Arabidopsis thaliana: one gene and its partner. The protein of the gene in region 1 interacts with the protein of each later gene in a pairwise test. Each region holds a gene or a part of one and is shown on either strand. Other genes may lie near its edges.

Region 1 (7,080 bases):
ACGGCAGCAATCGTGTGCTCCATCTCCCAGGTTTATGGCTACGGCACGGTGGACTACGAGAGAAGGCCGATTGTCCAGTGGAATGCCATCTACAAGAAGATTTCGCTGATGGAGAAGCCAGAGCTTGGCGCTGCTTCCGTCTTGAATCAGTGGGAGAAAGCCGGCCGCAAGCTTACCAAGTGGGAGCTCTGTCGGGTCGTCAAGGAGCTTCGCAAGTACAAGCGTGCCAACCAAGCTCTCGAGGTCCGTGTCCTCCTTGTATTTGCCCTCGCTTTATTTTGTATCTTTAACACTACTTACTTGATCGCGTATCGTTTTCATAGGTGTACGACTGGATGAACAACAGAGGCGAAAGGTTTCGGTTGTCTGCAAGTGATGCTGCAATCCAGCTCGACTTAATCGGCAAAGTGCGTGGCATTCCAGACGCCGAAGAGTTCTTCCTCCAGCTCCCTGAGAATTTTAAGGACCGGAGAGTTTATGGTTCCCTCCTCAATGCCTATGTGAGGGCCAAGTCGAGAGAAAAGGCTGAAGCCCTGCTCAACACCATGAGGGACAAAGGTTACGCCCTGCACCCGCTTCCCTTCAACGTCATGATGACTCTCTACATGAACCTCAGGGAGTATGACAAAGTCGACGCTATGGTCTTCGAGATGAAGCAGAAAGATATACGTCTCGACATTTACTCCTACAACATCTGGCTCTCCTCTTGCGGCTCCTTAGGATCAGTTGAGAAAATGGAACTAGTGTATCAGCAGATGAAATCGGATGTTTCCATTTATCCCAACTGGACCACGTTTAGCACAATGGCCACAATGTACATAAAGATGGGTGAAACTGAGAAAGCCGAAGATGCACTGAGGAAGGTTGAAGCAAGGATTACTGGTCGTAATCGCATTCCGTATCACTACCTCTTGAGTTTGTATGGCAGCCTTGGTAACAAGAAAGAGCTGTACCGAGTCTGGCACGTCTACAAATCTGTTGTCCCGAGCATTCCCAATTTGGGTTACCATGCCTTGGTCTCGTCGCTGGTGAGGATGGGAGACATTGAAGGGGCCGAGAAGGTATATGAGGAATGGCTTCCAGTCAAGTCTTCTTATGACCCCAGGATACCAAATCTTCTGATGAATGCGTATGTCAAAAACGACCAACTAGAGACAGCTGAGGGGTTGTTCGACCACATGGTTGAAATGGGAGGAAAACCAAGTTCAAGTACGTGGGAGATTCTAGCTGTTGGTCATACCAGAAAGAGGTGTATTTCAGAGGCTTTGACTTGTCTTAGAAATGCTTTTTCGGCTGAAGGGTCCAGCAATTGGAGGCCCAAGGTGTTGATGCTGTCTGGTTTCTTCAAGCTCTGTGAAGAGGAATCGGATGTTACCAGTAAAGAGGCCGTTTTGGAATTGTTAAGGCAGTCGGGGGATCTTGAAGACAAATCTTACCTAGCTCTTATTGATGTGGACGAAAACAGAACAGTAAACAACAGTGAAATCGATGCCCATGAGACCGATGCGCTTCTAACACAGCTACAAGATGATTTGTAATCTGATAGTCCTAGATCTTTGCTTTAAAAAACGAATCTTGTAACCGGAGTCAACTGAGGAAATGCGAAATATGTATAATGTACACAAGAGACTGCCTAGTGAAACATGAATGTAAGAGCTGTGTCCCTTTTTGTGACAGCTATTTGGAATTAGTGTTGCTTAGGGAACTGGATTAGCCTTTGTTCTCTTGTTTGATTGTTGTTACTTGTTAAGACTAATATTGGAGAGGTTAGGTTGTGCTCTTTTATTTTGGGCCGGACGGATAAAAGGCCCGATATTGAATATATAAGTCTGAGAGTCTCAAAGGCCCATCTCCATTAAGATATCTTCGCGGAATCGGTTGTGAGAGAGAGAGACGGTGATCGGGAAATGTCGACGAAAGGCGCGGCGGCGGCGTACCCTAGCGCGGCTCGGATATCTGATTCTCCATGTTATCTTCAGTACTCTGCTTCTCTCAAATGTGAGTCATGCTCCTGATCTCACCCTTTGTGATTGTTTCTTCGAGGATAGGATTTGACATGTTATCTTCAGTACTGTCAAGTTCCATAACGAATTAGCATTGATTAGATCTCATCTATTTCATTATGCTTCCTCAAGGTGATTAGATTAGTGGGTTGAATCCCATGTCAGTGATTCGATTTAGGTCCCATCAATTGATAACGTCGGGTTTGATTCCTGATTGTTTATGTGTTTCCGTTTTCATTAGTTATGCCTCTTAGCTTGACCCCTTGATTTCTTATCAGGTCTTGAAGAATTTGGATCAGACAAGAGTAAATGCCAGGATCATTTTGATGTGTACAAGGAATGCAAGAAGAAAGAGGTTGTTGTTGTGAATGAATATTTAGGCTTTTGGCGTTTCCAACTTCTTTGCTGCTTTACCTATGTGTTATTTTGTTTCTCAGAGGGAAGCTCGACTGGAACGCAATAAGACACGGTCGTTGTTCTCGTGAATGCAGATCCTCGAATACCAATGATGTCTCAGAACATCACCTAGCTAGTAGTATCCTGTTGTTTCATTTGCAATGGCTGTGTTTGTATGATCTATCTAAGTAAACAAGTGGAAAGTGTTTGTTAATGTTACTTTTTACTCCCCATTGGTGAATCATGGTGTATACCTGTTAAACTTTGAGAGCAAGTGGTTATTTATTTAGTTAGAGAGTTAGAGCTTCTCCACCACCATATTGAATAAGAAGATCTTTCTCTCATTCTTTTACTTTACTCTGGCGTCTGAAACAGATCCAGGGATTCCAGTAGTGAATTGGGCTTAAAAACTGTTATATGGGCTTTCGAAAGTAAAAGGTTCGGTGAGCTGCCAAAGAAAAGTCAGATGCCTTTAATCGCATTTGACGACGATTCTTTACGTGCGCCATTGACTGCATCGTCGTCTTCCTCACGCGATTTGGTAATCCGATTCGTCTTCATCTGATTCCCTCCCTTCCGAGAATAATAATGTACCCGCCACCTCCCTCAAGCATCTACGCTCCTCCGATGCTGGTGAATTGCTCCGGTTGCCGGACGCCTCTCCAGCTCCCATCCGGCGCCCGATCTATTCGCTGCGCTCTCTGCCAGGCTGTTACTCATATCGCCGACCCTCGCACCGCCCCTCCTCCGCAACCTTCCTCCGCCCCTTCTCCGCCTCCCCAAATCCACGCGCCTCCCGGTCAGCTGCCTCACCCCCATGGCAGGAAGAGGGCCGTGATCTGTGGCATCTCGTATCGTTTCTCTCGCCACGAGCTCAAAGGCTGCATCAACGACGCCAAGTGCATGCGTCACCTTCTCATCAACAAATTCAAATTCTCCCCAGATTCAATTCTCATGCTTACCGGTACAGAGTATTTCTATCTTTTCAAATGCCTATGTTTGCTACTATACTACTATTCCTTGGATTTTGAATACAATTTTCCTTGGCCTCTTCAATCTGATAAACACACATTCCAAGTTACCATTTCGAACCACTTTGATAAAAATGTGTTGCATTCCATAGCTGACTAACTAATTGTTCATCATGGATGGTTTTCATTCTCAGAGGAAGAAACTGATCCATATCGTATCCCGACCAAGCAAAACATGAGGATGGCATTGTATTGGCTCGTACAGGGATGCACAGCAGGCGACTCACTTGTCTTCCACTACTCTGGTCATGGTTCGCGTCAAAGAAACTACAACGGTGATGAAGTTGATGGCTATGATGAAACACTCTGTCCTCTGGATTTTGAAACTCAGGGGATGATTGTAGACGATGAGATCAACGCAACCATTGTACGCCCTCTTCCACATGGTGTCAAGCTCCATTCAATTATCGATGCTTGCCATAGTGGTACCGTTCTGGATTTACCCTTCCTATGCAGAATGAACAGGTTATTAGTCCCTCAACCGCTTCTAAAAGGGATGTTGCTTACCTCTCTCGTTATATTTAACATACATCCATTTTTTTTTTTAATTGAAACAGAGCTGGGCAGTATGTGTGGGAGGATCATCGGCCTAGGTCAGGTTTGTGGAAAGGAACTGCTGGTGGAGAAGCCATTTCAATTAGTGGATGTGATGATGATCAGACTTCGGCCGACACATCAGTAAGTAGAACGACTCTAATCATACGTCTTGCTGTTGTAGTTGGTTCCTCCTCTCATGATTAAAACACATACACAGGCGCTGTCGAAGATCACGTCTACGGGTGCTATGACTTTCTGTTTTATTCAAGCAATTGAACGCAGCGCACAAGGCACAACCTATGGAAGCCTTCTGAATTCTATGCGCACCACAATAAGGAATACAGGGAATGATGGTGGTGGTAGTGGTGGAGTTGTGACGACTGTGCTGAGCATGCTTCTGACAGGGGGAAGTGCGATTGGGGGATTAAGACAGGTAAAATTCTTTCTTGCTCTCTTGTGTTGATACAGATCGATAAATGTTTTCTTAAATCTGTTTTTTGACAGGAGCCTCAACTGACTGCTTGCCAAACATTCGATGTCTATGCAAAGCCTTTCACTCTCTAGTAAAGGACAAGTCACTTTTTATGTATAGCGAGTGTGATTTGAGAATCCGTCCATATAACCACCTTTTGTTTCTTATTTTTATTTTTCTTTCAAAAGAATAAAGGAAAACATTGATTTGGTGATTCGATAACAAAATGTGCCATCTATTCTTTAGTCTTTACAAACAAGCAGCAAATGGTTTGCCTTTCAGAATCAAAATTTAAGGTGTTTCTCGAATAGACAGAAGGAAGAGAAGAGAAGTCCCAGAAAGCTGTTCAGAAGGCGCATACAAATCATGTGTGCGTTGCTGCTGCAAGGAAAAGCACTTCCGCTGTAGCAGCCTGTTCTTTGTTTGATACCCCGGCCGTTATCTTCCAGTACAAAGGAGGAGTTTTTCACACCATCGCTAAAGAGAAGACACCAAAAGAAGGTACCTTTATGCAACCTAGCCATTCCCACTCCAACCTCGGTATGCGACCTGTTTCTGAGCACCGACAACGCACTGCTATCTCTAAAGAGAATGTCTGAGAAAGCGACTTCTGGTGCTGCATACTTAGAGCTGCAGCCGAGGATATGGCCAGTTATGGTACCAAAAGTGGGGAGTTCTACACCACAGTTTGGGGCAAACACCTGAGTGAAGTCGTCTTCAGGGTGTTCACAGCTGAGAGTGTTGTTGACATTGCAATTCCCCTCGCAGAGCTCAACATACTGGAGGGCCATGCAGCCAAGACCGGGACTCTCATTTAGTTTGCCTAGTTTCCGAGCTGTTCTGTTCTGGTTCAAGATGCTCACCATTTCATGAGCTGAGTTTCCTGCAACCATTCTAACTAACACTTAGTCCGCCTAAAACGAATCAACATAATATAAACTGTCGAATCTGGTTCTGACTAAAGAAAGCGAACTCGAGATTAAATCAGAGGGAGTGGCTGTAAATTCAAAATAAAGCCTGGCCAAATGCTGAACGAGAAATCCAAGTCTATATTCGCATATGTTATGAGGGGATAAAGCAAGGAGTTACCGTGCAATTTGGAGCTAGCTAGCACTGATGAGAGTGACAGAAACAGTAAAATCAACTCCAAAATGCTGATTTCGTTCTTCATATCGTGTTTTATCCTCTGAATTCCCAGCGTAATAGCTCGAGCTGGCGGATTTTCGAAAAATCGAGAAAAACAAAAAACAGAAAAGGAGAAAGTTTTTGAAAGGAGATGAGCTTGATGGAGATGTTGACTGGTCCCTGAATAAATGAAAAATGTGTTGCATTATTTCTATTATTGAGAAGAAAAAAACCAGGCATTTTGGTTATTGGGCTTTGATTTGATGTTGGGCTCTCAACCATTGAAATTGAATGAAGAAAGAAGGAAAGTACGTGACTTGAATTTCATTTACTTCATTAAATGGGCGGCGTTGGGGCCGGTGGAGGTGGGCCAATGACATTGATGTGTAAACAGAGGTAAAGCCGAATTTTGGCTAAGGCGAATCAATGCCCATTGGCTCCTCTCCTTACATATTTGAAGTTTGAGGTTTCCTTCCTTTTCTTAAATTAAATGTTGCTGTAACATTTCTACTATTGTAAACCGGGGCTCCACCACCATGTGCTTCTTCAACACTGTATCATCAGAGCCCACATGGTCATGCCTCTATATAATACTTTGTATTATTATTATTCTTATGTCACATTATAAACAAGTACCTCCAAATTGCACTTCCTTCAAACTTATTCGACAGTAGACTAGCTCAAGTACCTTTGGATGGCGTCGAGGCCCGGAGCTCTTACGGAGTGGCCATGGAGTCCCCTTGGTAGCTTCAAGTACCTCTTGGTGGCCCCGTTGGTGATGGCGAGCATGCACTCGTACGTGACGGCTGTGGATGAGGAGAAAGACCTCAGCAGACTTATGATAGTCGTGTTGATGCTGTGGAGAATAGTTCACAGCCAGATATGGATCAGCGTGTCTCGCCAGAGGACGGCTAAGGGAACGAACAAGATCGTGGACAAGCCCATTGAGTTTGAGCAAGTGGACCGAGAGCGCACTTGGGACGACCAAGTCATCTTCAACACTCTCCTCATGTATCTCGCAAACATCAAGCTCCCAGGCGCCTCCCACCTTCCCCCATGGAGGCTAGACGGGGCCATCCTCATGGCTCTACTTCACGCTGGTCCCGTCGAGTTTCTCTACTACTGGTTTCACAGAGCTCTCCACCACCATTTCCTCTACTCTCGCTACCATTCTCACCACCACTCCTCCATTGTCACCGAGCCCATCACGTGTACGTACCTTTATCCACCATTTGCTTCTATTCTATATACATTCATTCATATCTTTAATCAAACTTGGCAGCTGTGGTGCACCCCTTCGCCGAGCACATCGCCTACACACTACTCTTTGCCATACCTATGGTAACGGCGTCCCTGTGTGGGATCCTCTCCATCGTTTCCATCATGGGATACATTACTTACATTGACTTCATGAACAACATGGGACATTGCAACTTCGAGCTTTTCCCTAAGCGTCTCTTCCACCTCTTCCCTCCCCTCAAGTTCCTCTGTTACACCCCCTCGTACGTCGTTTGTA
Region 2 (7,461 bases), on another chromosome or scaffold:
GTAGAAAAGGTCAGACTATGAAGAATAGACGTTTGTTGCGTGCAAGCTATGATATAACATGACACACACACACACTAAAACAAAAACTAACTCTGACCACAAAGTCATGTTCTATTCCTGTTTAAAGTCTCTATGTTGGATGTATACGTAAGACATCTTTTTTCTTGACAAGTTGCTGCTCTCTTAAAGTTGATTCTGTATGTCCCCTTCTATTATTAGTAAAAATCTAAAATATCGTTTTTTGTGTGTCACTTGAGATATGTATTGAATCTCTAAATTTTAAAGTCTTTTTCTAATTCCCATATATACCTTACCTATTTGTTTTCTATTTATACTCGAAAATAAGTGTGATGCACGATCTAAAGTTAAGTTAAATGAAATGAAGAGATATGATACAAACCAGTGGAGATATTCTCGTTGGTGAGGGTTGCTTGGACTCGGCACATCTGGATCCACCATAACCTTTATTAAACCCATCAACAACCGTATAAGAGAGAAGATCGATTATGAATATATTAAAGCAATCAAGAAATTAAATCATGAGTTTGATTTTTTTTTTTTAACTCTTGAAAAGTGATAACACACATTAAGACGAAGAAGTTAACCAAAAGTTAATAGAAAAAGAAGTAAAGACGAAGAAGCTTAAATTAGAAAAAGGTAATAGTAACATTTTCCATTAATATAAGGGTATCTAAAAATACTGGCTTTACTATTCAGATTCAAAAGTCGTTAAAATAAGTGTCAATTAAGATATTTATGCTTTTCTAAAGGTATGTATCCTAGAATAAAAAAACTAAAATAAAAATAAAAGCGAAACAAAATCAAGTTAACCGTCTCTTGAAAACGTAATATATATAATCGAGAAAGATTCAAAATTGATTTAAAATAATAATCAAACCAATAACAGTTATGCATGCAAGAAGTTAGAGGAAACGCAGCAGGTATATAGATGAGGCTACGAAAGAAAAGAATGATCAAATCTAGTTACGCTTAAATTTGGATATATCTAAGGTTTCTTCGTCAATATATGGAGCTTACGAAAACGAAAGAGTGAGCTACGAGGAACTAAATCAATGAAGATAAGAGGAATGAAGGAGAGAAGATCACCAAGGTGTAGAAATTTCTGAAGTCGTCTCCTCCAATCTCCACTATTGGTTTGTTCAGAACTTGAGAAGGCCTTAGATCCAAGCCATTAGTAACCTCTCTATGGCCATAAGTGACCTTAAGAGAGACCAACCTCGTGAAAGGATCAAGAACATCTCCAACAACACTGCCGACCACAAGAGGATCTCTACGACTTAAAGACATATTTATCTTGGATCTCAAGTATCTCAATCAAATGTTTTGCTTCTTACCTTATGAACCCTTACTTGCTATTCTTTATATAACGTTTTGGGAATTGCAATAATTAGCTATTTAGCTTTATTCTCTCCAATGAAATCATTACCAGGGTCTTTTCGTGTATAGTTTCGAGAATCTACAACTCGTTCAACGTACGTATATCACTTATAATTCATGTTTTTTTTTTCTTTCCTTTTTTCTAAATTTATAGTATTCTTATTCCAAAACCCACCAGTATAAAACAGAAATAATCATATTCCAAATTATACATCATCCACTTGTTTCTTGCTAGCCACTAGTATGTAATTTATTCTGACTTATCATTGTAACTTCATGAACTATTTAAAATAATGTCACAAGCATATAATATGCTGCATATTTGCGTACGTCACGCATTTTGCGTCACATGTCACTCATTTAAATAGTTAAGGACACTACATTACACCGATTATGTATGATGTTAATGCATTTTAGAATAACTCCTTCAACCTAAACCATCATATAAAAGTATATATGCTCCAGATAAATTGACGCCATAATTGTTCACATATCTGGTTGGTGTGTACATACGTACTAGACTCTTTTTTTTCTTTTCTTAATGTAGTACTAAACTTAATTAATACCATCAAAAATATCAATTTAACAAAACAAACCAGTAAAACTTTTAAAACAATGGAGTAAATCAAATAAAACAAGTAAATTAACAAATAGACACAAGGTAACAGAAGTATAATAACGACAGAAAAGTGAACAATTGGCCAAAAAATTCGTTTTCAAACGTGATTTCAAAATTGTCTCCAAATCTTAAATGTTGATAAAGTAATTTTTTTAAAATTCATTATACCTTTCAAAAACAAGTGTATTACCTAAAAGCTCAACCGTGTATTCTTACACTCCAAACAAATTTAGTTCCCCAAGTTTGGAAGACAAAAATTTCTAAGAAATTTCTGACAAAACACATGAGAAATAAACCGATAAAGACTTCTAAAAACTATTGCAGACCAGTTTCATTTGCTGACCACAAAAAGTCATGAGAATACAATTAGCTCAGTGATTCTTGATATTTCTGGTACCTAACAAAAAGAAAAGTGTGTGAGGTTAGATGGCTATGATTTTTGCTCTCCAATTTATTGTCCATTTCCCCAATTTGTAATATGAAATGCGCAAATTACTCTTCTTCCGATATGAATAAGCAAACGAAAACATACGTGGGACGTTATGTTCAGAACATTTGATTAAAGTTTATATGCGATTTTCATTTATTTATTATGAATTTTTTGTTTGGCAGCATGTACGATTTTTCATTTAACACACAAATATTATAGAATTTTCATTGGTTCAAAGGGGTAGACAAAAAATAATTTAATATTATTACACCATTTGCAGAAAATTAGAAAATATATTTTTACCCATAATTAATTGATCTATGGACGTATGCTTGGCATAAAAATTCATATTTAATTAGCAGAAGCCAATCGCTGCGTTTGTATATACGCGTTTATGACCGAGAAAAAAACCCTTACGCGTCATGTAAAAAAAAAAGAAGCGTAAATTACGAAAAACAGAGAGATAAATCCGGGCATTGAGATTTTGGAGATAGAGAGAGAGAAAAATCGAAATCTATTGTCTATCTCCTCAATTTGGATTGGATTTTCTGCATATCATCGCTCTAGCTTTCGCGGGTTTTGGATTCGATTCCTTACCCTTCTCCAATCGGTAAGAACAAGCTCCAAAGTTTGTTCCTTTTTTTCAATTTTCGCCAATTCTGTAATCTCATCATTGTCCTTGTTTGTTTGTTTGATTCAACACACAATTCTTGTTTTGATTTGGATGCAGAAGTTTTTGGCTTTGAATTGGATTTGGGTTTCGTTCCAAAATCAGCTCTTTTTGTTAATCAGGTGAGTTTTTAGGTATTTGAATCTCCAATTGCTTCCTTGCAATGACTAAGTATTGTGAAATGTTTAGGGTTTCATCTGTGTGGGTCTTGTTTTGAAGCAATTTGTGTGTGTTTGGATGAAAGTAGCAGATATGCAGGACCAGCTGGTGTGTCATGGTTGTAGGAATTTATTGATGTATCCTAGAGGAGCATCTAATGTGCGTTGTGCGTTATGTAACACTATCAACATGGTTCCTCCTCCTCCTCCACCTCACGGTATCGATTTCTTTGTTGAATTTGAATTGAGGATGAGGTTAATATGCTCTGCAATTGTATTATAACTTGGGTTCTGATTCTGAATACAGACATGGCACACATTATATGTGGTGGTTGTAGAACAATGCTTATGTATACGCGTGGGGCTAGTAGCGTAAGATGCTCTTGCTGTCAAACTACGAACCTTGTGCCAGGTATATTAATAATATCGTGACATCCATATCAATCCTTTTAAAGACCATGTATTATATTGCTTTATAAGGTCTTTTAGTCCTTTAGAATCTTCTTTCACACTTTTGTTTGATAACATTGTTCTGTGGAGATGATGCTTACGTAACGTATTTCCACTTTTCCCAAAGATGTATATGAATCTGAATTCTGAAAATATCTGGGATTTGTAAAGCAGCTGAAAGTACTTAAAACAAAGCTTTTAGATGGTCCCGGTGGACTAGGTAACTACTTGTTAGAGCTAGTAGGGTTTATTATTGTTTTGTTTGATCTACCATTAGATTCTTATCTTTAATTAGCGTCTAAGCTGTTGTCATTTAGCTGTATGATTATCATTTATCCATGACTGCTTAAGAACATTGCTGATTACTTCGTTCATTAGTATTTCTTGGATTTTTCTAGCATTAACATTGCTTGTTTTCTGAATCTGTGCGTGTCTTTTTTGAAATCGACAGCGCACTCCAATCAGGTTGCCCATGCTCCTTCCAGTCAGGTTGCGCAGATCAATTGTGGGCATTGTCGGACGACCCTCATGTATCCTTACGGTGCATCATCCGTCAAATGCGCTGTTTGTCAATTCGTAACTAACGTTAATGTGATTATTCCTATCTATTAAGCCACCTCTGCATGGTTGAGTTAAGTATAGAGATCTTTCTGTTGGAAATTTTCATTTCTGATTCATTTTGCATCCTTAGATGAGCAATGGAAGGGTACCTCTCCCAACTAACCGGCCAAATGGAACAGCTTGTCCCCCCTCTACATCAACTGTGAGTTATCAAATTATGAATTTGTAATAGTTCTGTATATTCTTATGGAACTGGTACTTACTCTGTTCATCGATTTTTCATTTTACCAACAGTCAACACCACCCTCTCAGACCCAAACCGTTGTTGTAGAAAACCCCATGTCCGTTGATGAAAGCGGAAAGTTGGTGAGTATTTCTATCACCTGTGTTCTTCTTCTTATTTACCACATTAGAGGAAGATATGACAAAGTGACTGAAACACACAAATTGCAGGTGAGCAATGTTGTTGTTGGAGTGACAACTGACAAAAAGTAATCAAGAATGAGTGAGATCTTAAAGATCAAATCCAAATTCTTCCTCTATTCCTGCGTTTGGTTTGTGCATATTACATACGCGGAAAAACTGTATGTTATATATCTCTTGACTCCTTTTTAACCCAAGAGAAAAAGCTTATCAGAATCTCTTGTTACTGCATTATTGGGGTTTATTCAAAGTTGAAGACACAAGGTTTTTGCTCGAATAATTTGGCATTCTTTTGCTCCATGGAACTTGACCTTCTCTTCTGTTTGTTGACTTCTAAAACTCCATCGGCCCTTGTGGCATTGTTAATGTATGTATGAATATAATCTGATACACCAACCAATCATTAAGATTTGGGTTTGAAATCTGTCTCTTCCGTGGATGAGATATGCTACATGTCACAAGAACTGGTCTTAGCTTTGGTAGATAAGACTTGTCTTAGAGCAAGTCTTGAAATCTGGAAATCTATTTTGCAGTAATCTTGTCACAACAACCATAACCTAATCAGTCAGTACCCTCCAAGAACATTAAAGTTAGATGATCCGACAAAACCTCTCAACAAGACCAAACTCTTTCCATATAAATACTCTTTAACACTGACACAAAGTTTCATCACTTTCTCTTGATCACTCACTGCATCAACAATGGCCAGAGAGAAGATTGTGGTGGCTGGTGGTACCACAAAGAGCTGGAAACTACTCTTGGGGCTGAGAATATTTGCATTCATGGCTACTTTAGCTGCAGCCATTGTAATGTCACTAAACAAAGAGACAAAGACCTTGGTTGTGGCCACCATTGGTACTGTTCCTATTAAAGCCACTTTAACCGCTAAGTTTCAGCACACACCGGCTTTTGTGTAAGCGAGTAAAACCCTATACGAAATCGATTCGATACATATTGAAAGCAAAATGTTTTTGAGTTATTAACATTGATTCTTGGTTTTACAGGTTCTTTGTTATAGCTAATGTAATGGTGAGCTTCCACAACTTGTTGATGATTGTGGTTCAGATTTTCAGCCGGAAACTGGAGTACAAAGGTCTTCGTCTCCTCTCTATCGCCATTCTTGACATGGTATAAACATTGGTTTTCAAATCAATTTACTGGTTTGATTTCAATTGAATTAGTTTGAACGTTTGGAAAAAAAGCTAAACGGTTTCTTGATAATCTAAAAAAACGTTGGAAAAAAAGCTAAACGCAACACTAGTATCTGCGGCTGCAAACGCGGCGGTGTTCGTGGCAGAGCTAGGGAAGAACGGAAACAAGCACGCCAAGTGGAACAAAGTCTGCGACAGGTTCACCACTTACTGTGATCACGGCGCAGGAGCAATCATCGCAGCATTCGCCGGAGTCATTCTAATGCTCCTCGTGTCCGCCGTCTCTATTTCCCGCCTCTTAATCAATTCTAAAAACTTCTCCACCACCGCCACCACAACCTCCGTCGTCTAAAACATCGTGGCCAAAAATTCAGCAACATGTGTGTGACCATTTTATAGATGTTGTGGCTTACTTTGTGTGTTTGTCTCTCAAGTCACTAGCAAATTGTGTAATGCACTCCTTTGTTCTATCACTTTCACATTTGTATTCAAGTTTTCATTTCTCTCTTATCTTTTTATATAATTCTAAAATGACAAAAAAAAATTCACAAAGTATATAGTACATTGAAACAATGAGAAAAATCTACAATAGATGATTAGATAAGACCAATTCAAGATAATTTATACCTTTTATTTCTCAACTACTTCTTCTATTTATGGAAATATAATTCTAATCAATTGTTAGTTTTTTACATTAAAATGAATTATATCAACCGACTAAAAAACAAATCAGTATTAGTTCTATCGCATTGTAGTTCCCATACAACTTAATTTTTGTGTTGTAAATAATGATCCTACTGTCTCTAATAAATGTGAATCAATAATCATAACTATTGAAATCCTTTTCTTTTTGGTTAGTAAAAATGAAGTGTAAATAGTATAACTGTTTAATTTAGTTCAGATATACAAATCAACAAAACTACTTAATTTGAAGATTAATTCAGTTTTTTTTTTTTTTTAATTTTCTGTTTATAAAACTACTGAATTTTATTTGGTATAAATGGATTGAAGATTTTATTACAAAACAAAATCACATTTGGCGGCTTCTTCTTTTTATGTTCTAAACCCTTTTCTTAGATCGGACTCCAAGAAATCTACTTGCTTTAATCGTTAACCTAATAAATTCTTCTCTAAGTTTTTTTTTTCTTAACTCATCAAAGAAGGAAAGAAAAAAAAAAACCTCTTTCACAGATATTTAACCAAAAGGTTTTAGATTTATACTATACGTTACAAATAAAATTCGAGAGTCAAATTCAATCTTGGGAAAAGCTTTTGTTCCGAATCTTGGCCCCTTCACGAAGGTACACTTATCATCTCACTCTCTATTTCCAGACACAAATCTATATGCGTTCTGGGTTTTTTTAGGGTTTCGAAAACGGCACTGCATTTCATCAAGTAAGGGTTTGTTTTTTATTTAACAGATCTTTGTTCTTCCTTAGGTCACGGGTTAAAAGTATCGATCTTTGTGAACTTAATCTCACTGTAAATGGATCAGCTTGCATCTCTAGCAGAGTCTGTGGCTATGGAGGTTTCTCATCTTTATCCTTTTGCTTCTTTGATTTGTGTTTTTTGCTTTCTCCTCCATTTGTAACCTCTAATTT

What was found.
Region 2: the proteins of MC1 (region 1) and LSD1 interact in binary tests that used the Arabidopsis thaliana proteins (3 or more experiments, as listed by UniProt).

What each region holds. Positions count from the first base shown.
Region 1 is NC_003070.9:408,896-415,975, forward strand, and holds MC1 (metacaspase 1), read left to right. Parts: upstream 1-2,768; 5' UTR 2,769-2,987; coding exon 2,988-3,363; intron 3,364-3,564; coding exon 3,565-3,895; intron 3,896-3,987; coding exon 3,988-4,108; intron 4,109-4,184; coding exon 4,185-4,400; intron 4,401-4,471; coding exon 4,472-4,531; 3' UTR 4,532-4,659; downstream 4,660-7,080. Other genes in the region: AT1G02150 (Tetratricopeptide repeat (TPR)-like superfamily protein), read left to right, coding at 1-243, 324-1,538; AT1G02160 (Cox19 family protein (CHCH motif)), read left to right, coding at 1,908-1,998, 2,282-2,466; AT1G02180 (ferredoxin-like protein), read right to left, coding at 4,724-5,322, 5,529-5,610; AT1G02190 (Fatty acid hydroxylase superfamily), read left to right, coding at 6,259-6,775, 6,847-7,066. UniProt on the Arabidopsis thaliana protein: Cysteine protease that cleaves specifically after arginine or lysine residues. Does not cleave caspase-specific substrates. Acts as a positive regulator of cell death.
Region 2 is NC_003075.7:11,001,658-11,009,118, forward strand, and holds LSD1 (LSD1 zinc finger family protein), read left to right. Parts: upstream 1-2,859; 5' UTR 2,860-3,057; intron 3,058-3,177; 5' UTR 3,178-3,239; exon of another isoform or gene 3,240-3,354; coding exon of another isoform or gene 3,355-3,369; coding exon 3,370-3,493; intron 3,494-3,582; coding exon 3,583-3,687; intron 3,688-3,772; coding exon 3,773-3,804; intron 3,805-3,899; coding exon 3,900-3,945; intron 3,946-4,176; coding exon 4,177-4,316; coding exon of another isoform or gene 4,317-4,337; exon of another isoform or gene 4,338-4,416; coding exon 4,417-4,488; intron 4,489-4,580; coding exon 4,581-4,652; intron 4,653-4,739; coding exon 4,740-4,781; 3' UTR 4,782-5,131; downstream 5,132-7,461. Other genes in the region: TSF (PEBP (phosphatidylethanolamine-binding protein) family protein), read right to left, coding at 401-462, 1,108-1,308; AT4G20390 (Uncharacterized protein family (UPF0497)), read left to right, coding at 5,411-5,622, 5,714-5,837, 5,955-6,212; JMJ14 (JUMONJI 14), read left to right, coding at 7,347-7,388.